Linked DNA regions of Macaca fascicularis. The main gene of each other region encodes a partner of the protein of the gene in region 2 in a complex. Links are inferred from orthologs where the notes say so. Each region holds a gene or a part of one and is shown on either strand. Other genes may lie near its edges.

Region 1 (8,023 bases), on a different chromosome or scaffold from region 2:
TGGCTGATATGATTTCATGACCCTTTTTAACTTTCTATCAGGAAATGATGTGGCAGCACAAAGGATTATCCCAAAGCCATAAAGACTTAGGATAATTTTATTGCTCTTGAAACATCATCCCCAAACATATGTTTAGGGTAAAATCTGGTAAAGTGCAGACCAATAACTTGTTTTGCTCTCAAGACTATTTTGAGTGGCAGTAAAACAATGTACTTAACCGAAGTTCTGCTTTGCTTGTGCCAGGTATTATCCATTCATATTGCAGCTTCATAAAATCATCCAGTGCTTCTGAGCTGAATGCATGTGGCTACCTCATTGCTTTGAAATCAGTGGCATTCTAATCTGGTGGGATAGTTTTACCAGTGATGTCATCGGAACATGTTTGCTTATTTATCCATAGTTCTCCTAAGAAGAATGGCGTTTGTCATGGTACCTTGAAATGTAAAGAGTTTGAGCTCATAAAATCAAATTGCATTTCAGCAAATATTGGATTTGATTTAATATGGATATGGTTATTAGAATTTATTACCTAGAGAAAAAAATCCCATCATGATTTACCCAAAATTAAGCCTGTAGTTTTGCAAAACGTATAGTAAGATAATATATATGTATGTACATGGTAGAAACTTTTTCAGCAGTGGAGGGATTATATTATGTCCCACAATGTTATGTGGCATAGCAGTGTCATTTAAATTTGGAATATTTTTAAAATTCTGCAAGCTTTTCTAAACCCAATTCCTAGCAGTTTCAATGAGACTCTCATCTGAATAAATCATTTACAAGTGGGCTTTAAAAAAAAAAAAAACTGGTATAGTCTGAACTCCTTTTTCCCAAGAACTTCTCTTCACTGCATGCATTACTGTTCCTTCTTTTTGTATCATAAGGGTGAATTATTTTCATGACTCTTGGCTGTAGCCAAAATAATCTGAGCTTGCTTTCCATTTCTAATGATTATGTCCCATATAATAATATTGTTATTATAATAATAATTGTTATTATTATACTTTCTCCTCAGTAGAAAAGTGACTGGACCAATCCAAAATTAACAAATCTCTTTTTTTCTCTGATTCCCATTTTCTTCCGTTGCAGATTGGATTTGAGGCTCCTCCCCTCCAGGGACAGGCTGCAGCTCCAGCGAGTGGCAGTGGAGCTGATTCTGAGCCAGCTCGCCATATCTTCTCCTTTTCCTGGTTGAACTCCCTAAATGAATGATATTCATTCCAACTGCTGCCCCTCTGTCTGCCTGGCTGAGATGCATGTGGGCAGCAGGAAGCCCAAGTGAAATTAATATTATGCAAATGATGAAAGGGACCTCTGAACAGGATTTCTGCAAAAATAACCCAAAACTGTAATTCCAGATGACTTATCTAACATATTCGGGGGAGAGAATATTTTGAGAAAATAGTTGCAGAAAGCACTGGAAATAATAAACTTGATCTTATGCAAATCTTTTATTGTGTGGGAAACATTGTGAAGGGTGTGTAAGTGTGGTATATGTGTATGTCAGTCACAAGTGGCAAATGGTGAAAAAAGTGGTCACTATGCTCTTGTCTCTCATAGGCGCTGGCTTTTTGTTATTATATTATAGTAGTTCTCATTTCCTTTACTCTTTAACAGTGCAGGTGGTCAGTGAAAATCAGTGTCAACTCAGAAGTGACTGATTTATCAATACATGGACAAAAAGTAAATCATTGACCAAAGCTATGAAATGTTTCACAAAGTTTTCCTCTTTTGCGTAACAGATATCACTGGATGTACATTCAGAAATGTTCTTTGAATCTGGTGACACTTTCATGGTCCAGAAAGCTGAAGGCCTGGGCATCTCTTATGACATTTTTCTAATATTAGTTTTAGATTTTCATATATTAGGCACTTTAATTGAAAAAGATCTTCCAGCAAGAGCTGTCTACTTTCTCTTGTATTCACTGTGGCACCAATCTGGTAAATTGTAGAACAATTGCATGTATTTAAATATATATACAAACATATCACACACTAAACATATATATATATATATTTAAATCATGCTTTGTTAATATTTGTCCCACCATAATGCCTCCTTCAGAACGTAAGTGTAACTTTACTCTATATGAACTCTTAAATAAATGATGTTTTTAAAAGCTTTGTCTTATAATGATTTATTCAATGTTATGTATTATCTTATTCATTTATTAGTTAAGTGTATTTCAAAGGTCCCAGGATAAGATGCATCTTCATACAAATTAATTTTGAAGTATTAAATATTTGATTGAATTGTTTAAAGCTATAACTAAACTACCAAAGGCAAATGCACTGTAAAACTAATTAAATGTGCTGTTCAGTTTTAGAAATGAATAAAGGTAGTTCATGTTCCTAAGAATAAAAGTGGGTAGGGTTGGCCTAGGCATAAATGTGGAGGATATTTGTGTAATTATTAAAGTCAAAATGTTCTTCATAAGAAAATTTTTCCTATGTGACATTTTATAATGACTAAATTTAGTCATCTTAAGTGGAGATGCTATTAAGTTTCTCTTATTAGAAGTAGTAATTGGAAAATAGCTTACAAAAAACTGTTTCATGGTACCAAAGTAGTAGTTTGACAGAGTGAGTCTTTCTCATAGAAAAAGAATGCAGCATTTTGGTCATATAGTTTGGAGGAATTTCTACCTTGACACTTCCCTTTTCCTTTCATCTTTTCCCCACTCTCTCCAATTATTTCACATCTTTTAATTGATCAGGGCTAAATGTTATTTCCATTATAAAATGATCTTCCCTTTTAGAATTACCATGATTTAGAGCTGCTGGGAGCAACTTCCTGAATTATTAACTCAACCTCAGAGAAGTAGTCCATGGCACAGAGATGAGCCCAACGTGATTGCAGGGTCTGTGTAAGCCACTGATATATGTTTGCATTTTTAGTGGAAAAGTACAATGCAGGAAGTTTTGTTTTTCTTTTCTGGTGCTGAAGACAATTTGGAGGAAGCTAAGAGATGAGAGTATTTCCAGTGTATGAGCACTGAAGAGAAAAAATAAAGTCATGATTACCTTTGCAGCTTTTATTAAAAATATAAATATTCAACATTCTCTTACACAACCAAACTGACCAAGGACTGGAAAGATGTTTTATTACTGAAACGTTTACAAGAAAAAGTTGTTTCAAAGAGCTTACAGATTTAGTCTTACCCACCCAAGAGAATGGCATTCTCTTTGGTTCAAACCACAACAAAAACAATTGGGTGACTTCTGTCTGCTTTTTCAAACAAAACGTTTTCTCACTGGTCTACATTCTCTTTAAAACACCACTAAAAACACCTGGAAACGGAAACTAAACGTAGACAAAACGAATAACATTGTGTTGTTACTGCACATGAATACACTTTGTGCATGCTAAGTAAGGGGTATAGGCTCTCTCCCTCTCTCCCTCTATGTTTCAAGCTATATAAAAATAAACAAATGGCGTAAGAGCAGCGCTATGGTACAGAATACTGTATTTTTTTTTTTGTGCTAAATGCAGAATCTTTTTGGCCAAACGCACCGTTTCATTTCCCAATAATCTCCATGAGTTTCCTGTTGCTGTGAGCTTGCTGCGCTAACTGCTCGGCCCTGGCCATTTCCAAGACTTCCCGGAGGAGGTGGAAGGTGAGATCCAGGGAGATGGGAGGCTCCTCGGACCGCCTCTCCCTCTCCGTTGCCTCCTGGTGGCCGCCGAGGGCGTTCTCGGCGCCGCGCTCAGCGAGAGCCGCGGGGCTGTCGAGCGAGCGCCGAGGCAGCAGCAGCTGCTGCAGCAACACGCGGAAAAAGTTGGCGGCCGCCTGCTCCGGCGAAGGGCGGCTGCCGCTGCCGCCGGCGAGGAGCGAGGAGGCGGGCGAAAGGGGAGCGGCAGGGCTCTTGTTGAGGTTCCCCAAGCGGAGGAAGTACTCCTCTCCCATGCGGAGCAGGACCGGCCGAGCCTGCGGCTGCTGGGGCTGCTCGGACTGCGGCGGCGGCTGGAAGAAATCCAAGGGCTGAGGGTACTGCGGCGCCTGCCGGGCTCCCGGGACCGGCCCGCGGCTCAGGAGCGCCCTGCATGGCGGGCAGGGCAGGAGAGCCACCAGCAGGACGCCCGCGGACACGAGCAGCGGCAGCCGCATGTTAGGGGCACTCGCTGCGGCACAGAGGTGGGCGGAGGGCGGAATGAGAGAGGGGAAGAGAGAAAGAAAGAGTTGGTGAGAGTTCGCTCAACTGGGAGGTGCACACGAGGTCCTCCTACCGGACTACCTTAGACGTGCTGGCTTCAGTGGTTAGGGTGGGCGCTGTCCGCGGTGCTGAAACACCTGGGGAGCGGGGAAGGGGGTGCCTGCTGGGCTCCGCACCTAAGCTCAAGCGCTCGCCGGCCAGGAGTGACCCTTCTTTCTAGACTCTGAAGGGACGGTCCCTGCGTCCTCTTCCTAATGATCCTCAAAACTAATTTTCCCGAGCCTAGGGAAGAGCCACAGATTTAAGATTCTACCCGCGCTGACTACCTCCCTTTCGGATATTTCAGCATTTTCTTCCAAATTGATTAACTCCTGCCTCCTGGTCCTCCCTCTCCACCCCTGCCCTTGCTGCTTTCTCTCGGGGGTTAGGATAGAAGGGGGTGGGGGAGCTCCTTTACACAGCCAGCTAGGAGCAACTGGCAGCACGGGTAAAGAAGAGCAGCCGTCTAAGTTTGCTTTTGCCACATCCCAGCTACTATTGTAATCTTAAGGAACAGTCCGCGAACACACACACGCACGCACGCGCGCATACACACACACACACACGCACACACACATGCATACACACGTACACAGGCAGTGGCAGCCGGCCCTGCGGCGCACATCGCGGCAGCTCAGGCAACGCAAAGTTGGTGGTGTGTTCCGTCCAGGCGCTCCCTACCTTCCCAGGCGCTTTGCAGGTGAGCCGGGTGCTGCCGCCTCTCTGCAGAGGGACGTCTCCGGGGCTTTCTCTGGAGGTTGTCTTCCTTTCTCTTTTCTGTTCCCACTCTCTTTTTCTTTCTCTCCTCTCTTTCCCCTCAGTCTCTCAATGGACTTGGTCTCCGAGTTTCTCCACTCCAGAGCCTGGAGTGGGATTTTATAGTGTCGACCCTCTTCAAAAACCACGCAGCATTTGCCTAATAAGCTGACGCTCTCTTGACAGCTCGATTGCGTGCTGCCTCTGCTCCTGCATAAATCATAGGGCCCTGCCAAGGAACGAGGGGCAGAATTTTGCTATCTCAACACTGAATCTCACATCCAATTATATCAACAGATATTTATCGCCTCTTGGTGACGTCAACTAGCCCTAAAATGGAAGGGCTTCTTATGACTTGTCCATTGACAAAAATTCTTGAATGAGATTTCCCAAGTGTGAAAACATATTGACCTCTTACTATGAAAGGCCATATTAGGGGTGTGCAAAGAGACAGCGAATAGGAGGAAGAAGGGGAAGTGGGAAGGAAGGGAGGTGTCCCAGTGCAGACCTGCCAGGAAAGCAGCAGCCAGTTAGAGGGAGTGGATTTGGATGCCCCTTCTCCTAACCTCCCTGACCAGGTGTCTCTGACAACACCTCAGTATCTGGAAATATCCCTTTGCTAGGGACAGAGTCCCACCATCTTTCTGCCTGGAAAAGAATGAAGCATCAGGAGAAGGGTGTGCAGGAACATCTAGCTTTTAAACGTCTATCTGCATTTTCCTCCCAAGAGCAAGCACATAAAGGAGTTATGAGCCTGAGGAAGCAAGGCCAATAAGTCTCTTAAAATTCAGTTGAAGTTTTTAAAATGATGACAAGAGCTACTCCTATGGTGAAGGAGCACAAACCAGGGTTAGTAAGGGGTGTGACAAAGATTTTAGGTTCTCTCAGAAACTCTCTGCTCCTCCTTTGTCTCTCTTCTCACAATCTAAAATTAATTGTGGACTCCCTTTTCTATTCCCAAATTAAAGAGAGAGAAGGCCAGTGAGAGATGCATGAGTTAAACAAGATTTACTTATTCTACTTAATGCAAACTCAGTGAGAGGTGTCCATTCTAACGTCCTAATCTATGTTGAAAAGGCTTAAACTGCTTGACCACAGGGCTAAATTCATCAGTTACATGTTTTCATTGATCAATATTGAGTCTGTAAAAAGTAATCTCATTCATTTCGCCTCCAAATACTATCAACATCCATAATAGTATCCATATCTGGGCCACCCAGGGTGGTTCTTTTTAATCATTTCTTTTTCCGAATGCAAATGTTCTTCATGTGAGCCTGTTAAATAAATAAATGCTCTCTGACGTATCGCCGAATGGAATGGAATGCTAAGCCTGTAAAACTATACTCAATTTTTGAATTAATTGACACTATCATATAGGTGGGAGGCAGTTACCTTTAATTCTGCAATTCAAAATGCAATTCCAAGTTCTTGTGCCTGTGATTCAATTCAGCTTCCAGATAACCATCAAAGTTGTTTATCAGAAACTTCCTGCTCCTCATTTCTGATTACTTCTGCTGCTTCCTTTGTAGCTAATGTGACAAATGATGCAATGCATGTTTCAACTTCCACTTTGGGTCTATACCAATCCACAACTGCTCTTAGGAACAAAGGGAAGGCAGGGAGAGAAATGCTGACAGTTTGCAGAGAAGCCAGCCCATAGTTGGATCACTGCACCATGTTATGTACTTTTGACACAAGAGAACAGAGAAAGAAATGTGCCTACTTGGAAAGATGTGAGTTGTTAATAGATCATGATTATGGAAAATGGTTGAGTTTCTGGGAGCAAGCTGTGTTTTATATTGGTAGGAAAACACACAGAACCTCAGATTTTGTTATTGTGGGCTTTTTTGTTGTTGTTGTTAAGCTGGAATGGGTTCAACATTTTTGCTTACTTTCCTTTATGACCTGTTTTCTGACCCCGTTAGCAGATTTCGGCTTGAATGTCAAGCTGGAGGTGAAACATTGACTTGGAATAGGCAGTTTCAGTGCAGTAAATGGATACAGAAGAGAAACTAGGAAAGGGATGTGGTTATGAGTTTAGCTGGGGAGGTCTGGGAGGTTCTTCCAGAGAAGACACAAGTTTTGGGCTCTGACTAACCCCATTCCCATACCAATCTCTCTCCCATTGGGCTATCTGGGGGATGTTGTTTTAGTATAGCTCCCTCCTCACTGTTGAGTCCTTGCTGTGAGGTTCTCTTGGGGTATGTCATTAATAGAGCCAAAGTGGCTCCAACTAGGGAGTAAGGAAAAAAATGTTCGTGAAGCCCAGAGGAGGAGAAGCTATGCACAGCAGCCTCTACATGCCACAATTTATCTGTATTTGTCTGTTCTCACACTGCTAATAAAGACATACCAGAGACTGGGTAATTTATAAAGGAAAGTGGTTTAATTGACTCACATTATCACATGGTAGGGGAGGCCTCACAATCAAGGCAAAAGGCAATGGAGAAGCAAAGGCACATCTTACATGGTGGCAGGCAAGAGAGAGCATGTGGAAGAGAACTCCCTTTTCTAAAACCATCAGATCTGATGAGACTTATTTACTATCACAAGAACAGCATGGGAAAGACCCACCCTTATGATTCAGTTACCTTCCACCAGGTCCCTCCCACAACACGTGGGAATTATGGGGGCTACAATTCAAGATGAGATTTGGGTGGGGACACAACCTAACCGTATCATTATCCAAAATGTATATCTCATTAAATCACCCAGTGTTCACATTAGAAATGACTTAAAGAGATCACTCGGTTTAAATGAGAACCAGAGAATTAAGTGACTTACCTGAAGTCACTCAGCTAGTTAGTGGTAAGGTGAGAATTAGGACTCAGTTCTTTTGATTACCAGCCCATATTATTTGCATAATGTAATGATAAGCTTTGGACTTTCTTTTCCAGCAGAGCACACAAATTTAGGTGAAAAGATGAATTTTAAAACATTTTAGAGCTAGAATCTCACTTTCTTGCCCAGGCTGAAGGCACCATGATAGCTCACTGCAGCCTAGAACTCCAGGGCTCAAGTGATCCTCAGACTCCTGAGCAGCTGGAATTATAGGCATCAATCACCATGCCTG
Region 2 (7,812 bases):
GGTAGATGTCCCAATTCCAACCCTGGCAGAAGGTCAAGTCACTTGATCCCACTGCCAAGCCTCAGTTGTCCCATCTGCAGAATGGACAGCATCCTCTGTGATGAGATGCAAAGTTGGAAGCAAGCATCGGGGCAGGAGGCAGACAGTGGGAAAGACTGCGTGGCCGGGAATGGGCGTGAGCTCAATACGCAAGCTGCATCCTTGGCTCCTCCTCACGGTCCCCTGGCTGTGGCTGAGGCCCAGCATGTCCTCTGGGGGGCTGCTGGTGGGAGTGGTACCACACGTGTCACCCAGTGGGCACCCAGCAGTTCTCAATCTCAGCCTGAACCTGTCCAATCGCAGCCCGAACGACCTTGAGAGGAACATCTGCACAGGTTCTACCTGCTGCAGGGGGTAATTGCTTTGCATTTTCCTGAGTGTCCCTCCAGCAAGCTCCAGGGAGGCCTGGGGAGTGGGTGGGGACCAGACAAACTGGAAGCCCTTATGTCCCCGTGGGTAAGAAGACCCCCAGTGGCTAGATCTCATAAGCCAGAAATTGAGATTTGTATACGAAACCTTTGGATTTTTTAAAGCTTGGCTACAAAATCGAGTTTCCAGAAAACACCCTGCCGGCCACACACAGCTTCTGTGGGCTGGGTCCAGTCCTTGAGCCTCTGGTCTGCAAGTTCGTTTCTGCTTTCTCACACCCAGATCCCCTCTGTTGCAGTGTTGAATTTTCACCACCAGGTGGGGCTTCAGAGCCGCTCAGACTCACTTTCTCCTTTAGCCCAAACAGTTTTTGTTTTGCTTTGTTTTTTGAGGCTTGTGGAGTCTTGCTCTGTTGCCCAGGCTGGAGAGCAGTGGCACGATCTTGGCTCACTGCAACCTCTGCCTCCTGGGTTCAAGAGAGTCTCTTGCCTCAGCCTTCCCAAGTAGCTGGCACTACAGGTGCGCACCACCACACCCAGCTAATTTTTGTATTTTTTTTTAATAGATATGGGGTTTCACCATGTTGGCCAGCCTGGTCTCAAACTCCTGACCTCAAGTGATCCACCCGCCTCGGCCTCCCAAGGCCTCAGCTAGCCTGAGTCAGGAGAGAGTCAACCTCCTAAACACGCAAGATAATCTTCCAGGCTCCTTCGTCAGCCCAATGAAGCCATGCAGGCCCCCTCCCCTCCGTGGGGTGAGGAGAGGGCTTGTCACTGTGGTGGAGGCCACTTGGACGCCAGGTCAGTCAGTCAGATAGGTTCCTGGGAACACCTGTTTGGCAAACAAGGTCCTGGGGCTCCCCTGCCATCCACGTCCACCTTTTCTGCCCCCCCCTCTCTCAGTGGTTCTCAATCTTAGCTGCACATTAGAATCACCTGGGCAGTTTTCAAGAATTCTGGGTGCCAGGCCACACCCCAGACTAATTACACCTGACTCTCTGGCGGTGAAGCCTGGGCACTGGTACTTTTCGAAGCATCCCAGGTGATTCTAATGTGAGCCAAGGCTGAGCACCACTGCAGCAGAAATCAAGTTTCCAGGCACGACTGGAAACACCTGAGTCCGTTTCATAAGGAACCAAAGAACTTCAGAGCTGGAAGAAGCCTCTGGGATCATCTAGGTCCACTTCTGTTAAATTCACGGACTCTTCTATTAAGATGTCTTAATATTACGAGAACACATTTATACAGCATTTGCTCTATGTGCCAGGTCCGATTCTAAATGCTTAATATAGATGGACTGATATCACCCCACAACAGCCCTTTGAGGAAGTATGTCCATTTTATAGATGAGGAAACTGAGGCACGCTGCAGTAATCCGTCCAAGGTCACACAGCTATTTAATGACGGAGCCACGATTCTGAACCTGGGCAGTCTGGCTCCAGGCTGCTTCCTGTGTAAGCTCAAGGCAGATAAAGGAGGCTGGATCCTGTTTGTCCAGTCCCACCCAGGCAGAGCACAGGCAGGGACCCTCTGAATGAGTCCAACCCCCCAGATCCCTCCCTTTACAGATGCAGAAGCCATGGTCCTGAGGGGAAAGCCAGCATGGCCCAAGGCCCTTGGGAGTGTCACCAAGCTAGGCTGGGAGCCTAAACCTTGGGGGCAGGAAGGGAAAGGAGGTGACTTACTTCTCATTGTCGTAGTACAGCTTCCCAATGGCCCAGGCCACAATGATGGGGAAGGGCACACCTGGGGGAGAGATGGGCTGTCACAGAGCCCTCAGCGGGGGCTGGGGAATGTGGGCCTGGAGGACCCCAGTGCAGCCCAGGCTCCAGGCGGTCTAGGGTTACCCAGGGTGGATCTCAAACTCACACACCTCCTTCAAGGTGCTCCTGCTGCCCCCCACCCCCAAGAGGAGCAGAGGGCTATGGCACACACCCCACTGCCCCAACCCGACCTCCATCCCTCAGGCCCCCCAGCCCTCTGGCCTGAGTCTGGGTGAGGAGACGGCAGCACGGTGGCTGCCACTGCCCAGGCTGGGGAGGTGGCTGCCCAGCTCACCCCAGCCGATGCAGATGAACATCCACTTGCGCAGCCGGTCGGTGGAGTAGGTGAGCACGATGGCTGTGTGCAGGTAGCAGCCCTCACCGAACATCCAGAAGAAGTTGGTCACATGGAAGTAGTTGTAGGCGGCGGTCACCAACCTGCACCAGACCTGCCACCCCACCCCCAACCAAAGATGATGATGAGGGGCAGGGGTGGCACCAAACCCTGGCCCTGGGCCTCCCCCAGGCAGGACGGGGCACACCCTGGGATCCCACTCCTGTTCTGTGGGCTCCTCCTCTGCAGGGCAGGCCCACCTGGGCCCCTTCTCTGACGTGGGTTTGGCCTGACCTGCTCCCCGCTCCCCCGCCAGGACGCACCACGTTGCTCTGGTGGACCTCAGGGCTCATGGTTAGCTGCACCACGAACCAGGTGGCGTTGCGCAGGATGAAGGCGGAGATGAGGTTCCAGTGGATGATGTTTCGCAGGCACCGGATGCTCCTGGTGCAGCAGGGCAGGTGGATGATGGGAGCGACAGGAGAGAGAGGATAAGGGGCAGGCCACCCACATCACCCCAACCCAGATGTGTAGATGAGGAAACTGAGGCACAGGGTAGGGCTGACTGGCCAAGTCACACAGGGAAGTGACAGCAAGGCTCTCCTAATGCCCCATGGAGCCCTTCCTGCCTGCAACCCACCCAGACAAAAGCCCCAGGCTCTGCCTGGCACTCCATGGACCAGGGCAGCTGGCTTCCTGGGGATGCCTGCTTCCCCTGGGGGTGCCTTCCACTCCCTGCCATTCCAGGATGGACAGTCACAGGGGTCAGCCTTGCTCCCAGCCTCCAGCCCTGATGCTCGGCTCCTGATCCCAACCATCCCCATCCCTGGCTCTGCCACCTGCATCCTTGGCGGTAGTGCTGGGGCCCATGTACTTTCGAACCTGAAATGGGTCACCACTCCATGGAGCCCCCACCTCCAGGGCACCATCTGCCTGGTCACCCCAATGGGTGCAGCCCGTCCTGGGTGTGGGTGACATAAAACAAGCTTTGTCCCTCCCCACCATTCCAGCAGCTACTGCGGAGGGGGCAAAGCGGCCCTGCCAGAGGTTCCCGGAGACCTGAGACTCTCAGATAAGCCAGGCCCTACCACCCTCTCCCAGCAACCCCCACCCCGACCTCGAGCTGCTCCTCTCACTTCTCCACCCTGCTCCTGCTCTAGGGCCGGGGGACAAGAGGACGCAGTGCTGGGGTCTGCTCACCTGAGCCGCAGGAAGAGGACAAAGGCCACCAGGAGGGCCACCAGGGAGATACAGTGGCCCAGGTAGTTGATGATGACTGCGACATGGTAGTGCACCTTGCTTTTTTTCTGGAGCAGGAGAGAGGGGCAGAGGTGAGCTTTCTGCACAGCCATGCCCTTGCGCCTGCTGGATGGGAGCCGCTCTATGAGGACATTGCCTGGGGGTGGCTGGGACGGAGCAGGTCATGATCTCAAGGGCCACTCCCCCTTCCTGAGTACCTGCTGTGGGTCAGGCCTCGCTGCAGAGCAATGCTGTCCAGTTTGAGGCTCTGTCTGTCCCTGAATCCCATGCTCTGTTCACTGCTCTGTGTTGTGTCTGAGTCTCCACATCACGTGGGATTCCCCACTCCACACGGACGCCCCCTCTGCACGCATAAGCGTGTGTGGCCGGCTCACAGGTGCGCCCTCACAGTCGCATCTGCCCATGCTGCCACCCGGTCGGAACACCAGGTGGACCTCTCAGCTGCAGAGACACCAACCTCCCGGGATTTATCTTCTCCACCCATTTCTGAACTGAGTCACTACCGTCTCGGCCGCCCTTGAATCCCTCCTGCTGCAACGCCGCCTGCTCCTGTGAGCGAGGAGGGGCCGGACAGCTGCTGGGCTCTGGCATCCACAGAATCAGCCGAAAGCACAGAACAGTCTCCTTAGGCTCCATAACTCACTTTCCAGGGCCTTCCCCATCCCTGGCCCAAGGGGATCTGTGCAAAGTGAACAGGATCCTCTCCCAGGACTGGAACACATTTCCCGGGTTTATTTCCTAATGAATTTAATATACTGATGGAGGTCACTGCCCTCCTCTTTACAGCAATCTTAAGTTCCAAGAGTGATGAAGCCTTCCCATTTACAGAGGATTTTCATATCTGTTATCGTCTGAAACCATCAGGGCAACCCCATAGGGGGAGCCGGAAGGGCTTCTGGGCTTTAGTTTGTAGGAAAACAGCACAGAGGTTATGTTGACGCACTGGAGGTCGCGCAACTTCAAAACCACCTCTTGCCTGCACGTGCAGACTGGCAAGGTACAAAGGCTGCAAACAGGTCCCCAGCCCATAATAGGGGACTGGCCAGTCCCCATGCCTAGCTCTCTGCAGACTCCTGCCCCAGAGCAAAGCCCCCATCCACACTTTTATAGGTCCCAAGAAGCAGGGCCTAGAAACCAAGAGCTTGACACGCAGTCGAACTCCGAAGCAGTTGTGTGAGTGAAGGAAAGAAAGACAGGTGTTGAAAAGCAGGTGGCTTTGGGAAAGGAGGGGTCCCTGGCAGCACCTCCCTCCCTCCCCGTTTCCAGGCTCTGGGGTGGGGCTGAATGATCATGAGGCACAGAAGCGGGTGACATGCAAGCGCCGAGAAGTGGGGAGCTCACAACGGCCCTCATCATCCTCTCAGAGCCACCAAGGAGCTACTCCACAGGCCTTCCTGTTGGAATTACAGAACCCACACGAAACCAGAGGTCAAGTCCAGCCCTATCCACCAGGCATTCCAGGAGGAGCCAAGACCCTATGCCCAGTTCCGCCCGGCCACCAAGGCCCTTCTGAAGGGGCATCCTCATCGGGAACCTCTTAGGTCCGGAGGCTCCTACAGAAGCTCTGTTCTCAGAGCTGGTTTCCAGGCAGAGGCTTTCTGGAACATGGCAGGAAATTACATTAACAACTCCAGCCTCCAAAGGACTGGGATCCAGGGAGGTGTAAACAAAGGCAGGAGAGAGACACAGGGGAGTGAGGAGAGGGGACCCATCACCCATGCAAGTGGGGGGGTCTCTAAGCGCCTGGCGGCAGATGCCCCAATCCGGAGGCTCCGGAAGATATGCACGGATCACAGGCTGTCTGGAGCTGGTATTTAATATCCTTTTATTAAATTTTCCACAAATCCATGCTGAAAAGCCCCTGGGTAATGACAGCATGTGTGGAGCCGAGCATGGCATGACACCCCGGCCTTGTTCACAGGCCCAGGCTGGGCGGGAGGGCACAGTGTGCAGGCAGACCATTCACTGCCACCTGCCAGGCCCCACCTCGCTCCTGAGTCAGGCCGCACCAGGCCCTTGGGGTTGGAGTGGGGAGGAGTCATCTATTAAGCACCTGCTGTATGCTGAGCATTGTGCCAAGAGCTCTGCAGATGCCACTGCTTTTCTTTCCCACAGCTGCCCTTGGAGACTGCTCCTCTCATCCCAGTTCTTCCCGTTGAAGAGACTGAATAATTGGCCACGCCATGCAGCCGGCATCTGGAACCTGAGTCTGCCTGGCTTTGAAATCCCTCTTTTCCTGGTTTCCCAGGGACATTTCTTTTTTTGGGTGGGGGAGGGATGGAGTCTCACTCTGTCGCCCAGTCTGGAGTTGTGCAGTGGCAGGATCTTGGCTCACTGCAGCCTCTGCTTCCTGGGTTCAAGTGATTCTCCTGCCTCAGCCTCCTGAGTAGCTGGGATCACAGGCATGCGCCACCACGCCCAGCTAATATTTTGTATTTTTTGGTAGAGATGGGTTTTCGCCATGTTGTCCAGGCTGGTCTCGAACTCCTGAGCTCAGGCAATCCACCTGCCTTGGCCTCCCAAAGTGCTGGGATTACAGGCGAGAGCCACCGTCCCCAGCCCCCTGGGAGATTTCTGGGGGGACAAGCAGGAATTGAAAGCAGAGGCACTCTCTGGGGTGGTCTCGCTCCATTTTGGGCCCAGGAGCCTCGGGGGACCTCCTGCCAGGAGGATAGCACCCATGAGGGCTTTTCCCCAAGAGCCTGAGAGGGAGAATCGGGCGAAACCATTCCCGGAGGACAGAGTGTCTCAGCGTGGCTCCCTGAGCAGTCGGGCCCAGGCCAGGTTCAAGCCCTCTCTCTTATTGGTCACATCAGCATGATGCAACCTGAGAAACAGCTTGAGAAGACAGCTGGAGAGACAGCCTGAGGGATGGCTGCCGATACCCTGAGACAAATACGTCCTGCGTCACCCAGACAGAAGCCAGTGACACTGTGACATTTCCAATAACAACCAGAGTTCTGGACAGCATTATTTAGAGAGACAGCAAGGCCTTAAAAGGCACCTAGAAACACCCTGAGAGGTGGCCAGTGACACCTGGAGAGGAGAGTCAGCAGCACCCCCAGGGACAGCCAGTCACACACCGACCGACGGCCACGATAACAGCAAAGCAGCTGGGATGTCCAAAGGACAAATGGGCACAGCTACCCCTGGGGCCCTGACCAGCACTCCCTCTCCGTCCAGTCTGGAGACCTGAGACCAGCAGGCACCCCGCCCTAAGGAGGGTGGCACAGCATGCTACTTGGCAGAGGCCACTCCGCTGTACCCTCAGTGACCTGAATTGAATAAGCAATTAGTGCGCGGCTGACTCTGACACCACCTCGTCCCAGGTGCTGCAGTGCCAGACCCGTCCCGATGCCTCTCTGGGATGGTGGCAATGAGACCTCCCTTCCAAGCTCCCGCCGGTGCCCACTCCATTCTGGCACCTCCTCTCCACTGAAGTTGCCAGAGCTACTCCTCTTACCCCACCGCGGGCACTCACTCCAGTCCCTCAGTCCTCAAAGGGCAGCCCCTGGCCCAGCAGCAGCACCCAGAGGAGCTCGCAGAGATCTTGAGGAAAGTGGAATGTGTGCCCTACGCTAGGCCCACGGAATCGGAGCTTCGTTTCAGGAAAAAGCACCTATACAGTTCAGAAGCCCTGGTCCAACCACTGCCCACCTCTCCCCAGACGGTGAGCAATGAACCTTGGCCCACAAACCCAGACCCCAGATTCCGTTTCATGTGCCACCAGTGTGCCCTCCCGGACTGCGCCTGAGGCCCCAGCTCCTGTGCTCAGCAGAGTGTGGGGAAAGGGAATAGAGTGTGTGCTCAGCAGAGTGTGGGGAAAGGGAATAGAGTGTGTGCTCAGCAGAGTGTGGGGAAAGGGAATAGAGTGTGTGCTGAGCAGAGTGTGGGGAAAGGGAATAGAGTGTGTGCTGAGCAGAGTGTGGGGAAAGGGAATAGAGTGTGTGCTCAGCAGAGTGTGGGGAAAGGGAATAGAGTGTGTGCTCAGCAGAGTGTGGGGAAAGGGAATAGAGTGTGTGCTCAGCAGAGTGTGGGGAAAGGGAAT
Region 3 (4,232 bases), on a different chromosome or scaffold from region 2:
GATGCGTTAGACTAGACGGTATCGCACCGTGCAGTGGTTCGCCCGCCTGCAGCTCCCATACAGCAGCCCGTGCTGTGCGCCCTGCTTGCTGCAGCCCGCCCTGTGTAACGCTCATCCAGCCTCTCCTCCCGCAGGACTCTGCAGGTCAGGTGACCCCCTGCCTCCTGCCCAGCTGCTCTGTGCCTAGACGTGGTTCACCAATCTGTCTTACTGGTGAGACCGACCTGATGCGCACCTGCCGGGTTTTACGTGACCCCCTAACAGCAGCTTTTCTCCCGGGCTCAAATCCCTCTGCAGACCCCAGACCAGAGCATAGCATGTGCACACACCAAGGTCACCAGGTGGTTTGGGTATTTACCTTTGGCTAGCTCTGAGCCCACCGCAGCATGGTAGCGGGAGCGCAGCTGCGCGGGCAACCGCCGGGTTTGTGGCCGGTTGGCGGGCTCAGTGCCGCCTCAGTAGGCTCTAGCAGTGGAAAACTAAAGCGACTACCCTAAGATACCCATAGCGAGAGGAGAGGGGCTGGAAGGGTGCTGGAGACAGGCTGTAGTGGGGCTAAAGGAGCAGACTGACCGGTGCTGCGGCCGGCACCCGAAGCAGCGAGCAGCGCACCTCAGCTGCGGTTGCCGCGCGGCATGGTGTTTATCTGTGGGTTCAGTGCCCACAGCGTTGTCCACTCTCGAAATCACCCTAAACCGGCCATAAACGCCAACCAAAATCCCCTTTAACCCTTCCCTAGAACCGCAGGACCTGCGAAACTCTGCGGCCGCTTTGTGGGGTCCCCCTCTGCGCAGCACGCCCCCCACCCCTCCATCGGTGCCACCGCAGCTACTGCCTAGGGGGCTTTGCTCTTGGTGGTACGCACCCGAGACCTTCTTATTCCCCTGCGTCACCATCCACATAAACAAGGGAGCACCCTGCTTGCGCTGCGTGGGCCACTGCGGAGACCCCTAGAGTGTGATGAGGGTGGGGGCTGTTAAAGTGCTTTACCGGAGCCAACCTCAGCAAGCAACAAACAAAAGCAGTAAAAAGTACACCCAAGGCATTTAAAAAACAAATTGTGTGCTCGCATACTCGGCATCCCCTCTCCCTCGTCTCTCTCTGCTTCTCTGGTGGGCTCACGACCACCTGTCGCATCCCCACGCATGCCTGTGCCCCTTCTCAGGCACCAAAAGCCTTGCGCTCTGGACTAGGGGCTTGAGATCCGGAGCTGCCTGGAGGCTGGGGGCTATGACTCAGTGTTTCAGGGGTATCCTGGGGTGATGAAACCCTTCTTCAGTCCCCCCTCCCCCGAGGAGTCGGTTGGGTTGGGGAGGGAGGATTTCAGCTCCTGTACTCCAGCGTCCCGAGGCCCACGTCTTGCGTCACGTGTCCCGCAACGCAGGAGAGCTTTCTCTGGCCAGGGGAGAAGCGAGGAGAAAGATTCCAAATCAGTCAGGGAGAGGAGTGGAAGGAGCCAAAACGTCCCTGCGAGGCCTGCGCTCGTCAGCCCCCTTACCCAAAGTCCCGGGCCGCGGCGCGAGGAGCAGGATTCTGGAGCTGGAGCCAGCTCGGCACTGGAACCGGCGTCCTCTGGTGGCAGCGAGAGAGCGCTACTGGCGATTTTCGGACCGAATCGGCACGCTCGTCAGATCCAAGCAGGCGGGACTGGCCTGGAGGAGAAAGAAAGAGAGAGGAGGGCATAAGGACAGACCAAGGAAGAGGGGCTGGGGGGCATACTGAGGGGATAAAAAGTGGCCAGAAAGGAGCCAAGACTCCACCAGCAACAATTGAGTTGCTTCAGCCTCAGTCTAGGGTTCCAGGCCTTGAAGCCCCCCAACCTCACAAGGGTTGGAAAGTGAGGCTGGTGAACTTTCCAGCTGGTACTTTGATTTAAAAATAACAATAATAATTTTTTCACCCTAGTTCGGTTGGGTGCTCCGTCTTACGGAGCCCCAAACTTATTTTGAGAGGCCGCCACCCTGTTATGGGCGTGCGCAACTGCCTCCACGGCAATAATATGTCAGGACAACGCGATATCCCCCCTGAAATCGGGGAACAGCCCGATCAACCATCTTTGGAGGCCCCAGGGGCAGCTGCCCCCGGTGCTGGGCCTAGCCCAGCCGAAGAGATGGAGACCGAACCGCCTCACAACGAGCCCATCCCCATCAAGAATGACAGCGAGGCCTGTGGACCCCCAGAGGTCTCCAGGCCCAACTTTCAGGTCCTCAACCCGGCATTCAGGGAAGCTGGAGCCCATGGAAGCTACAGCCCACCTCCTGAGGAAGCAATGCCCTTCGAGGTCGAACAGCCCAGCTTGGGAGGCTTCTGGCCTACACTGGAGCAGCCTGGATCCCCCAGTGGGGCCCATGCAGGCCTTGAGGCCTTCGGCCCAGCATTCGTGGAACCTGGAGCCTTCAGTGGTGCCAGACCAGGCCTGGGAGGATACAGCCCTCCACCAGAAGAAGCTATGCCCTTTGAGTTTGACCAGCCTGCCAAGACAGGCTGCAGTCAACCTCTCTTACAGGTCCCAGACCTTGCTCCAGGAGGCCCAGGTGCTGCAGGGGTCCCCGGAGCTCCTCCCGAGGAGCCCCAAGCCCTCAGGCCTCCAAAGACTGGCTCCAGAGGAGGCTACAGCCCTCCCCCTGAGGAGACTATGCCATTTGAGCTTGATGGAGAAGGATCTGGGGACGACAGCCCACCCCCGGGGCTTTCCCGAGTTATCGCACAAGTTGACCGCGGTGGCCAGTTCGCGGCAGTCGCGGCCTCGAGTGCGGTCCGCCTCACTCCCGCCGCGAACGCGCCTCCCCTCTGGGTCCCAGGCGCCATCGGCAGCCCATCCCGAGAGGCTGTCAGACCTCCTCCTAACTTCACGGGCAGCGGCCCCCCGTTGGAGATCTCCGGACCCCCGCTCGAGATTGGCAGCGCCCCCGCTGGGGTCGACGACGCTCCCGTCAACATGGACAGCCCCCCAATCGCGCTTGACGGCCCGCCCATCGAGGTCTCCGGAGCCCCAGATAAGAGAGAGCGAGCAGAGAGACCCCCAGTTGAGGAGGAAGCAGCAGAGATGGAAGGAAGCACAGCCGCTGATGCCGCGGAGGGAGGAAAAGTCCCCTCTCCGGGGTACGGATCCCCTGCCGCCGGGGCAGCTTCAACGGATACCGCCACCGGGGCAGCCCGTGCAGCCCCAGCGGATCCCGACTCCGGGGCAGCCCCAGAAGATCCCGACTCCGGGGCAGCCCCTGCCGCCCCGGCCGATCCCGACTCCGGGGCGGCCCCTGACGCCCCGGCCGATCCCGACTCCGGGGCGGCCCCTGACGCCCCGGCCGATCCCGACTCCGGGGCGGCCCCTGACGCCCCGGCCGATCCCGACTCCGGGGCGGCCCCTGACGCCCCAGCGGTTCCAGATGCCGGGGCAGCCCCTGACGCCCCAGCCGATCCAGATGCCGGGGCAGCCCCTGAGGTTCCCGCGGCCCCTGCGGCTGCTGAGACCCGGGCAGCCCATGTCGCCCCAGCTGCGCCTGACGCCGGGGCTCCCACTGCCCCAGCCGCTTCTGCCACCCGGGCAGCCCAAGCCGCCCGGGCGGCCTCGGCAGCCCCTGCCTCCGGGGCCAGACGCAAGCTCCATCACCTTAGACCCCCCAGCCCCGAGATCCAGGCTGCCGATCCGCCTACTCCGCGGCCTGCTCGCGCGTCTGCCTGGCGGGGCAAGTCCGAGCGCAGCTGCGGCCGCCGCGTGTACTACGATGAAGGGGCGGCCAGCAGCGACGATGACTCCAGCGGAGACGAGTCCGACGATGGGACCTTCGGATGCATCCGCTGGTTTCAGCATCGGCGAAATCGCCGCCGCCGAAAGCCCCAGCGCAACTTACTCCGCAACTTCCTCATGCAAGCCTTCGGGGGCTGCTTCGGTCGATCTGAGAGTCCCCAGCCCAAAGCCTCGCACTCCTCCAAGGTCAAGAAGGTACCCCTGGTGGAGAAGCGCAGACAGATGCGCAAAGAAGCCCTGGAGAAGCGGGCCCAGAAGCGCGCAGAGAAGAAACGCAGCAAGCTCATCGACAAACAACTCCAGGACGAAAAGATGGGCTACATGTGTACGCACCGCCTGCTGCTTCTAGGTAATGCGGCGGACTCTGCCTGCGGGCAGCAGGGCCGCCGGGGAACTGGGTAGGGGGTGGCAGGGCTGCCTGCTGGGGCTCGGGGCTCGACAGTGGGAGGAGGGGATCCAGCCAAAGGCGGGAAGAGCTTGCTAG
Region 4 (7,162 bases), on a different chromosome or scaffold from region 2:
CCTGTAGTCCTAGCTACTCTGGAGGCTGAGGCAGGAGAATGGCGAGAACCCAGGAGGCGGAGCTTGCAGTGAGCTGAGATCACGCAACTGCACTCCAGCCTGGGTGACAGCAAGAATTCGTCTCAAAAAAAAAAAAAACTCAACAGGTGAATTAAATGATAGATTTGTCTGAAAACAGAACTAGTGAATAGCATGAGAGGACTAAAAGAAAAACAGAATGTGCAGTTCTAGGAGATGAGAAGGCTGAGAGTGAGAAGGTCTAACAGGTCTAATCAGATTCCCAGAATGAGAGGATAAAGAGAATAGAGAAAAGGCAATATTATGCAGATGGATAATCGTGAAGAATTTCTCAGAATTTATGCAGGAAACGAATCTACAGATAAAGCATCTAGCCCAGTGCCTACTATCTGGTGGATGTTTGGAGACTGTCTGTTCCTTCCCCACTTAGTGGTGGAGGGCTTCTCTCCACCTCCTTCCAGAATCCCTAGAATGTGCTTTTGTACCTTTTGATGGTTCAAACCTTCTAGATTGCTGTAGATGCCCTCATGGGGGGTGGGGTGGAGGGGCCAGCCCTCTCCTAGGCAACCCTGGCTGGGGTGAGGGGTATAGCTCTAGGTGAGGTCCCAGCTCTAAGTGCTAACCTGTGTGTGTATCAGAGTGAGCTCAGCGATGGCATCGCGATGCTAGTGGCAGGCAATGACCGTGTGCAAGCAGTCATCACGCAGATGGAGGAGGTGTGCCAGACCATTGAGGTGAGCCTGGGCTGGAGGGCAGGGGGAACAGCAACTGGCTGGCCTGCGGACCCCGGGCTCCCAAGAGAACTGCTCCTCTCTGACCTCTGGCCAAACTGGTCCAAAAGTTTCTGGGGTCCTGGGAGTGGTGGGAGGTGCTTTTGCCAGGCTGCTGGGTGCTCATTCCAGCTTTTCCGCAAAACTTTAATCCAATTATTTAACTTCTCTGTGCTTTGGTTTTGTTTAACCTCATAAAACAGTGATGATGATAAATGGTACACCAGCTACCTCATGGGTTCTTTTTGAGAATTATATGGAATAATGCAAATAAAAACCAGGGCTAGGGATATAGACAACACTCAGTGAAGCTACTTTAAAGTATTGTGTTTTTATTATGGAAAAGATCTGGGCTGGATTCTGGCTCAGCCACTAACGCACAGTGTCACTATGGGTGGGTCACTTTCTGTGTTGGTTCTCTGTGAGTATCCTGTGCTTTCCCAGCCACCGGGTCTCAGCCACGCCTTCCCTCATCCTTGCTCCCCATCTTTTAGGACAATAGCCGGAGGCAGAAGCAGTTGTTAAACCAGAGGTTTGAGAGCCTGTGCGCAGTGCTGGAGGAGCGCAAGGGCGAGCTGCTGCAGGCGCTGGCCCGGGAGCAAGAGGAGAAGCTGCAGCGCGTCCGCGGCCTCATCCGTCAGTATGGCGACCACCTGGAGGCCTCCTCTAAGCTGGTGGAGTCCGCCATTCAGTCCATGGAAGAGCCACAGATGGCGCTCTACCTCCAGGTGGGCCCTAGGGGAGGGTAGCAGTGCCGCACAGTGGCTAGAGTCGGGGCCTTGGTACCTGGAGACCCAGGTTCAAGTCTTGTCTCTTGCACCTGTTTGCCACTACGACCGTGGGCAAGTCACCCCCTCTGAGTTCATTTTCTACTTAACGATTGGGATGTGCCTTCCCACCTACCCCACAGGACTGTGGTGAGACTCAGAAATGGGACTTTGCCCGGGTTGGCCCGGTGCTTACTCTCACCCTCCTTTTCTTCCCTGCAGCAGGCCAAGGAGCTGATCAATAAGTGAGTAGGCACAGCGGGAAGGGAAAGGAGGGGGCTGGGCTGCTCCACTGGCTGGGGGCGGGGCTTGAGGGTGCTGGGGCATTGCCAGCTGAGTCCGTGTGGCCACCGCAGGGTCGGGGCCATGTCGAAGGTGGAGCTGGCAGGGCGGCCGGAGCCAGGCTATGAGAGCATGGAGCAATTCACCGTGAGCGTGGAACACGTGGCCGAAATGCTGCGGACCATCGACTTCCAGCCGGGTGAGGGAGGTGGCCGAGGGCCGCTGGGACTGGGGTTCGGACCCTCTGTGTGGGAGGTGAGGAGGGCACGATGGCCGGAAAGGCAGGGACTCCACCTCACCAGGCCTTCCTTGGGCCCAGGCGCTTCCGGGGAGGAAGAAGATGAGGAGGTGGCCCTGGACGGAGACGAGGGCAGCGCGGGGCCGGAGGAAGAGCGGCCGGATGGGCCTTAAGGTGAGAGCGGCCCGAGGGGCTTGGGGTGGGGCCTGGCTGGTGTGCTCGCGTCCCCTCCCCCAGTGATTGTCCTCCCTGCGGGTCGCATGAAGCCCCCATTCGTCGGTGCCACCCAACCCCGGAGCCACAAAGGGCGGAAAAATACACTTTCCTCCTCACCCGCCGTTCCTCGGGGTGCTGGGAGGCAGGCAAGGCAGGCTGAGTAGAGGAGAAACCCACGTGGCGGAGGACGGAGTGAGCGGGGCTCGAGCTGCCTGGCGCCTTCGCAGCACCAGCCCACCGAGCCTTCTTTCCCGGGTACAGGCCTGCGCCAACCCGACCCTGCTCGAGCGCCCGCGCTAGGGTCGGGGAGGATCTGCGCAGAGACCGCGGCATCGCCCAAATCGGCGCCCGCCCCAGGAGGATCTCAATAAAGAACTCGAGCGTCCCCGACCCGTATCTCCTTTCGCTGCCCAATGCCGCAGCCTCGGCTTCGGAGGCGACCCGCCCACCATCCTGCCCTTCCCAGAACCTGAGACTATCCGGGGGGCGGAAGCCAAATGAACCCCTATTGGGCACCTCTGTGATGCCAGGAGCGAAATGGTGAGCCCAGCGCCCTGGGAAAAGGGTCGAGGGCGGGGCGGTGGTGCTGGGACCTCTGAGGTCCTAGGGATTTGGGGACCCCTGGAGTTCAAAGGCACCTGGCTGACCTGGCTGAAAGCCGCTCTCCTGGAGCCCCCCACAGCATTTTGTTCCCCTCCCGCTGGCCCGGGGGCCCCACCTTCCCACGGGCTCCCACGCTGCTGTGACTGCCCTGCCCCCACGACAGAAGCCAACGGGTCTTCAGTACTTTTATTAAAAAATAGTCAAGCAGAGAGTGCCCTGGTGGCTCTGCCCCGCATCCCAACCCTGGGGTGGGGGAAAGGGGTCAAAGTTTTCGCGGCCACAAACCGGGCCGTCACTTGCCCACCGAGTCGAATATGATGCGGTTCTGCTCGGCGCGCTCCCGCTGGCTCTGCGTCCGCGCCAGCTCCAGCAGGGTCCGCAGCAGGTGAAAGGTGAGGTCAATGGACAGAGGAGGGTTGTCCCGCCGCGGCCGCTCGCCTGCCGTCCCGGGTTCCCATCGGCTGGACCCTGCGCGGCGCGAGAAGCGCTCTGCCAGCAGCAAGAGGAGCGCGCGGGCCCCGCCGCCCTGGTTCCGTGCCCCGGGGCTCCAGCGCAGACTCGGGTCCTGGACCCCGGCCGCCTCGGGGCTCCTCTGGCTGTTCCCAGGGCACAGCTGTAGCAGGAGCAGCAGCGCGGCCAGCAGCGCCGCGCGCCCCGCCTGCCTCATGGTGCCGCCGGCCCTGGACACACAGGGGCAGCGCAGGGTGAGGTGCGCCTGGGGCAGCTGCAGGAGGCCGCTCCCCTCCCTGCGCTCGCCCGGCGACCCTTCCGGTAGCCGCCCAATGCCCGCAGCCTGCCCTCCAGCCCCGGCTACTGCGCCAGTGCTGTTCCATCCCTTCCACCCAGCTTCCCTCCCGAAGGAGCGCGGTGGCTGAGCTGAGTGGAGTCCTGGTGCTGGGGGAGGCTGGGTGGACGCTCTGAGCCACTCACAGGTTGTCGGCGAATGTTTGTACGGTCCAAGATTGAGCTCCAGTCTCTGTCCCTCGGGGCGGGCCGAAGGCGCCTTGGGGAACACAGGGTCTGTCCCGGGACTGCCGCCAGCCTTATATAGCGACAGGACAGCTCCGACTGACGTCAGCGAAGAACATGCACTGATTGTAGAAGCAATGACAGCCACAGCTTCGAGTCTGGCGGCTGGCGGGCCCCGGAAGGGCACACCTCCCGACATGAGCCTTCGTCTCCCTGGGGCTAGCGCTGGAAGCAGCACTGGACGCAGGAGAGCGAGAAGCTGGCTGGGGCGAAAGGACTGCTCTGGGACCCACGGGAGTCCCTCGCCCTGCTTAGAACCGCCAGCAGTGACTAGGGCCGTCACCAGACCAGACTAGTCCGGGTCGCGTGTTCTGACACACGAAAGGGAGGCGGGACCGTGGGGGCTGTCCATGGTGCTGACCTCGTCCTGCGCCTCTAGAAGTGGCTAGAGATGATGTGAGAACGCTGTACTGCTGCAAACCACTGCCTCGTGGCAGCTATCAGTTCTGCAAATGCAGGTATCAGGAGTCCACCGCTGGCACTCAGCCAACACAGTGGGTCCCATTGAGAGGCAGTCTTCCACAACCAAAGTCTCCCAGCATTCTCATCTTTTTCCAGCCCCAGGATCCAAATTCTAGGGCTGTCTCACACAGGCACCATGTAACAGAGGGTCTCTGGCCTCCAAGTGCGTTCAGACCACAAATATGGCCCATCTGCTTTTGAGTTTGTCCAAAGTGGTAGTTTAGCAAAGTTCCGTTTCTCTCCTGGGAATCATAGCAGCAGTATTACTCTGCCCATGAGTAGTAAAGAAATATGGGTTCAAGTTTCTGCTAACTCCTGGTGTGGGCAGGTCACCTCCCTTCTACCAACCTCAGGGTTCTCAGTTGTAGAAGACTGGGCTTGGCCAGGCGTGGTGGCTCACGCCTGTAATCCCAACACTTTGGGAGGCCGAGGCAGGTAGATCACGAGGTCAGTAGATCGAGATCAGCCTGGCCAATATGGCAAAACCCCATCTCTACTAAAAATACAAAAATTAGCTGGGCATGGCGGTGCGCACCTATAGTCCCAGCTCCTCAGAAGAATCACCTGAACCCAGGAGGCGGAAGCTGCAGTAAGCCGAGATAGCGCCATTGCACTCCAGCCTGGGAGACAGAGCGAGACTCCATCTCAAAAAAAAAAAAAAAAAAAAAGATTGGGCTTGGTGGTCTCTTGGCTTCTTTCCAGCTCTAGAAATGACTCCCCATTACCACTGCAGATTCCGGATGACACATTTAATAACATATTTACTGAGGCATCATATAAAGGGTTCCGGGGGTCTCTGAAGAGCTGGAGCTACAAGGCTAGGCAGGGTTAGAGTAACAAATGTGTCTATGAAGAGTGGGGATGAGTGGCATTTGCTGGGATATGTGTGTAAAGTTGATAAGGTCATGAAAGTTCAACAGATATTTATGGAGTGCCTAGTATGTGGTGGGAATAAGACTATTATCAAGGGCTCTAAAGCAGTCAGTGCACATTTTAGAGTGAAGGGAGCATTGCAGGGTGCTAGTCCTCTTAAGTTCTGACTGGCAACCCAACCCTGTGGAAACTAGTGTGCCCACTTTAGGAAGTTGTCTGACCGTTCCAGGGCCAAGCTGCATCACTGCAAGGTGGAAACGATGAAGTGAGGCCGGCTTAGAGCCGATGTGCCTTCCAGGACAGGTAGGAGTTCCAGATAACAGCAACACATTGGACAACGGCCAACCTAAGGAACAAGAATAACACGGTGAAGAGGAGGAAAGCTAAGCAGTGAGCAAGGGCTGGAGATGAGAGTGTGAAATGGAAAAGGAGGGATCATGTCAGAAGATTGGCAGGTTTAGGTCTCTTTCCTTCAGCGCCTTTTTTTTTTTTTGAGATGGAGTCTCCTCTGTCGCCCAGGCTGGAGTGCAGTAGTGCGATCTTGGCTCACTGCCTCCCGGGTTCAATCAATTCTCCTACCTCAGCCTCCCAAGTAGCTGGGACTACAGGTGTGCTCCACCACACCTGGCTAATTTTTGTATTTTTAGTAGAGACAGGGTTTCACCATGCTGGCCAGGCTGGTCTCAAACTCCTGACCTCAAGTGATCTACCCACCTCGGCCTCCCAAAGTGCTGGGATTACAGGTGTGAGCCACCGCACCCAGCCCCTTCAGTGCCCTGTGAAGGGCCTGTGTGGCTTGGACTAAAGGACAACTGGCTCAAATTCTAGTGCCATCCCAGAGCTCTGTTTCCTTCCTCAAAGGCTAAATATTTAGCGGCTCTCTTGCCACATGTAGCTCTGTTAATCACAGAAAGGGCCCCTATCTGTCCTGTACCAGCTGAGATTTCATCTTCCAAAATGTACGGACTACCATACAAAGTAGCATCTTTTTGTTTTAAATTAACCTTGCTCTGGTTTCAAAGAGTGTTGCAAAGGACCCTAATGTTTAAGATTTGGTTCATAAGTCTGTATTCCTTTTTTTTTTTTTTTTTTTTTTGAGACGGAGTCTCACGCTGTTGCCCAGGCTGGAGTGCAGTGGCGCGATCTCGGCTCACTGCAAGCTCCGCCTCCTGGGTTCACGCCATTCTCCTGCCTCAGCCTCCTGAGTAGCTAGGACTACAGGCGCCCGCCACCGCGCCCGGCTAATTTTTTGTATTTTTAGTAGAGATGGGGTTTCACTGTGGTCTCGATCTCCTGACCTTGTGATCTGCCCGCCTCGGCCTCCCAAAGTGCTGGGATTACAGGCTTGAGCCACCGCGCCCGGCCTGTATTCCTTTTTTGTTTTCTGTTTTTTTTTTTTGGAAATGGAGTCTCACTCTGTTGCCCAGGCTGGAGTGTGGTGGTGCGATCTTGGCTCACTGCAACCTCTGCCTCCCAGGTTCAAGCAATTCTCCTGCCTCAGCCTCCCGAGTAGCTGGGACTACAGGCACCTGCTACCACGCCCAGCTAATTTTTGTATTTTTAGTAGAGACAGGGTTTCACCATATTGGTCAGGCTGGTCTCGAATTCCTGACCTTGTGATCTGCCCGCCCCAGCCTCCCAAAGTGTTGGGATTACAGGCGTGAGCCACTGCGCCCAGCCTTTTTTTTTTTTTTTTTTTTTGAGACAGGGTCTCACTCTGTCACCAGGGTCTGAAATGCAGTGGCACAATCTTGGCTCACAGCAACCTCCATCTCTCGGGCTCAAGTGATCCTCCCACCTCAGCCTCCCAAGTAGCTGGGACTACAGGCATATGTTACCATGTGCCTGGCTAATTTTTTGTATTTTCTGTAGAGATGAGGTCTCACTATATTGCCTAGGCTGGT

What was found.
Region 1: the proteins of CRHR1 (region 2) and CRH are in contact, whole or in part, in a cryo-EM structure (PDB 6P9X), measured with the Homo sapiens proteins. The link is inferred for Macaca fascicularis from reciprocal best matches to the Homo sapiens genes CRHR1 and CRH. Residues at the interface, in NP_004373.2 of Homo sapiens: Lys113, Tyr116, His117, Ala119, Val120, Asn123, Trp169, Val172, Gln173, Met176, Ser177, Pro178, His181, Thr192, Tyr195, Asn196, His199, Phe203, Phe260, Gly261, Lys262, Tyr267, Tyr272, Gln273, Met276, Ile277, Leu280, Tyr327, Phe330, Phe331; in NP_000747.1 of Homo sapiens: Glu156, Pro157, Pro158, Ile159, Ser160, Leu161, Asp162, Leu163, Thr164, Phe165, His166, Leu167, Leu168, Arg169, Glu170, Leu172, Met174, Arg176.
Region 3: the proteins of CRHR1 (region 2) and GNAS are in contact, whole or in part, in a cryo-EM structure (PDB 6P9X), measured with the Homo sapiens proteins. The link is inferred for Macaca fascicularis from reciprocal best matches to the Homo sapiens genes CRHR1 and GNAS. Residues at the interface, in NP_004373.2 of Homo sapiens: Arg151, His155, Tyr212, Leu213, Ala216, Ile217, Leu219, Thr220, Tyr221, Asp224, Arg227, Ile290, Ile293, Leu294, Lys297, Leu298, Ala300, Ser301, Lys311, Lys314, Ala315, Val318, Leu319, Leu322, Phe362, Tyr363, Asn367, Ser368, Glu369; in NP_000507.1 of Homo sapiens: Gln35, Arg38, Ala39, His41, Val217, Phe219, Phe376, Cys379, Arg380, Asp381, Ile383, Gln384, Arg385, His387, Leu388, Gln390, Tyr391, Glu392, Leu393, Leu394.
Region 4: the proteins of CRHR1 (region 2) and UCN are in contact, whole or in part, in a cryo-EM structure (PDB 6PB0), measured with the Homo sapiens proteins. The link is inferred for Macaca fascicularis from reciprocal best matches to the Homo sapiens genes CRHR1 and UCN. Residues at the interface, in NP_004373.2 of Homo sapiens: Leu106, Asn107, Glu109, Lys113, His117, Val120, Asn123, Trp169, Val172, Gln173, Ser177, Pro178, His181, Gln182, Thr192, Tyr195, Asn196, His199, Phe203, Phe260, Gly261, Lys262, Pro264, Tyr270, Tyr272, Gln273, Met276, Ile277, Tyr327, Phe330; in NP_003344.1 of Homo sapiens: Asn84, Pro85, Ser86, Leu87, Ser88, Ile89, Asp90, Leu91, Thr92, Phe93, His94, Leu95, Leu96, Arg97, Leu99, Leu100, Glu101, Leu102, Ala103, Arg104, Thr105, Gln106, Gln108, Arg109.

Annotation. Positions count from the first base shown.
Region 1 is NC_088382.1:76,162,274-76,170,296, forward strand, and holds CRH (corticoliberin), read right to left. Parts: upstream 5,048-8,023; 5' UTR 4,876-5,047; intron 4,124-4,875; 5' UTR 4,110-4,123; coding exon 3,519-4,109; 3' UTR 3,021-3,518; downstream 1-3,020. Other genes in the region: TRIM55 (tripartite motif-containing protein 55), read left to right, coding at 1,090-1,212. UniProt on the Homo sapiens protein: Hormone regulating the release of corticotropin from pituitary gland. Induces NLRP6 in intestinal epithelial cells, hence may influence gut microbiota profile.
Region 2 is NC_088390.1:67,413,142-67,420,953, reverse strand, and holds part of CRHR1 (corticotropin-releasing factor receptor 1), read right to left. Parts: intron 3,812-7,812; coding exon 3,705-3,811; intron 3,466-3,704; coding exon 3,379-3,465; intron 2,949-3,378; coding exon 2,828-2,948; intron 2,620-2,827; coding exon 2,466-2,619; intron 2,154-2,465; coding exon 2,093-2,153; intron 1-2,092.
Region 3 is NC_088384.1:114,906,099-114,910,330, forward strand, and holds the start of GNAS (guanine nucleotide-binding protein G(s) subunit alpha isoforms XLas), read left to right. Parts: upstream 1-1,432; 5' UTR 1,433-1,966; coding exon 1,967-4,097; intron 4,098-4,232. UniProt on the Homo sapiens protein: Guanine nucleotide-binding proteins (G proteins) function as transducers in numerous signaling pathways controlled by G protein-coupled receptors (GPCRs).
Region 4 is NC_088387.1:94,908,713-94,915,874, reverse strand, and holds UCN (urocortin), read right to left. Parts: upstream 3,917-7,162; 5' UTR 3,825-3,916; exon of another isoform or gene 3,575-3,824; 5' UTR 3,562-3,574; coding exon 3,187-3,561; 3' UTR 3,067-3,186; downstream 1-3,066. Other genes in the region: TRIM54 (tripartite motif-containing protein 54), read left to right, coding at 657-752, 1,283-1,516, 1,778-1,800, 1,912-2,036, 2,157-2,248; mitochondrial inner membrane protein Mpv17, read right to left, coding at 5,535-5,604. UniProt on the Homo sapiens protein: Acts in vitro to stimulate the secretion of adrenocorticotropic hormone (ACTH). Binds with high affinity to CRF receptor types 1, 2-alpha, and 2-beta. Plays a role in the establishment of normal hearing thresholds.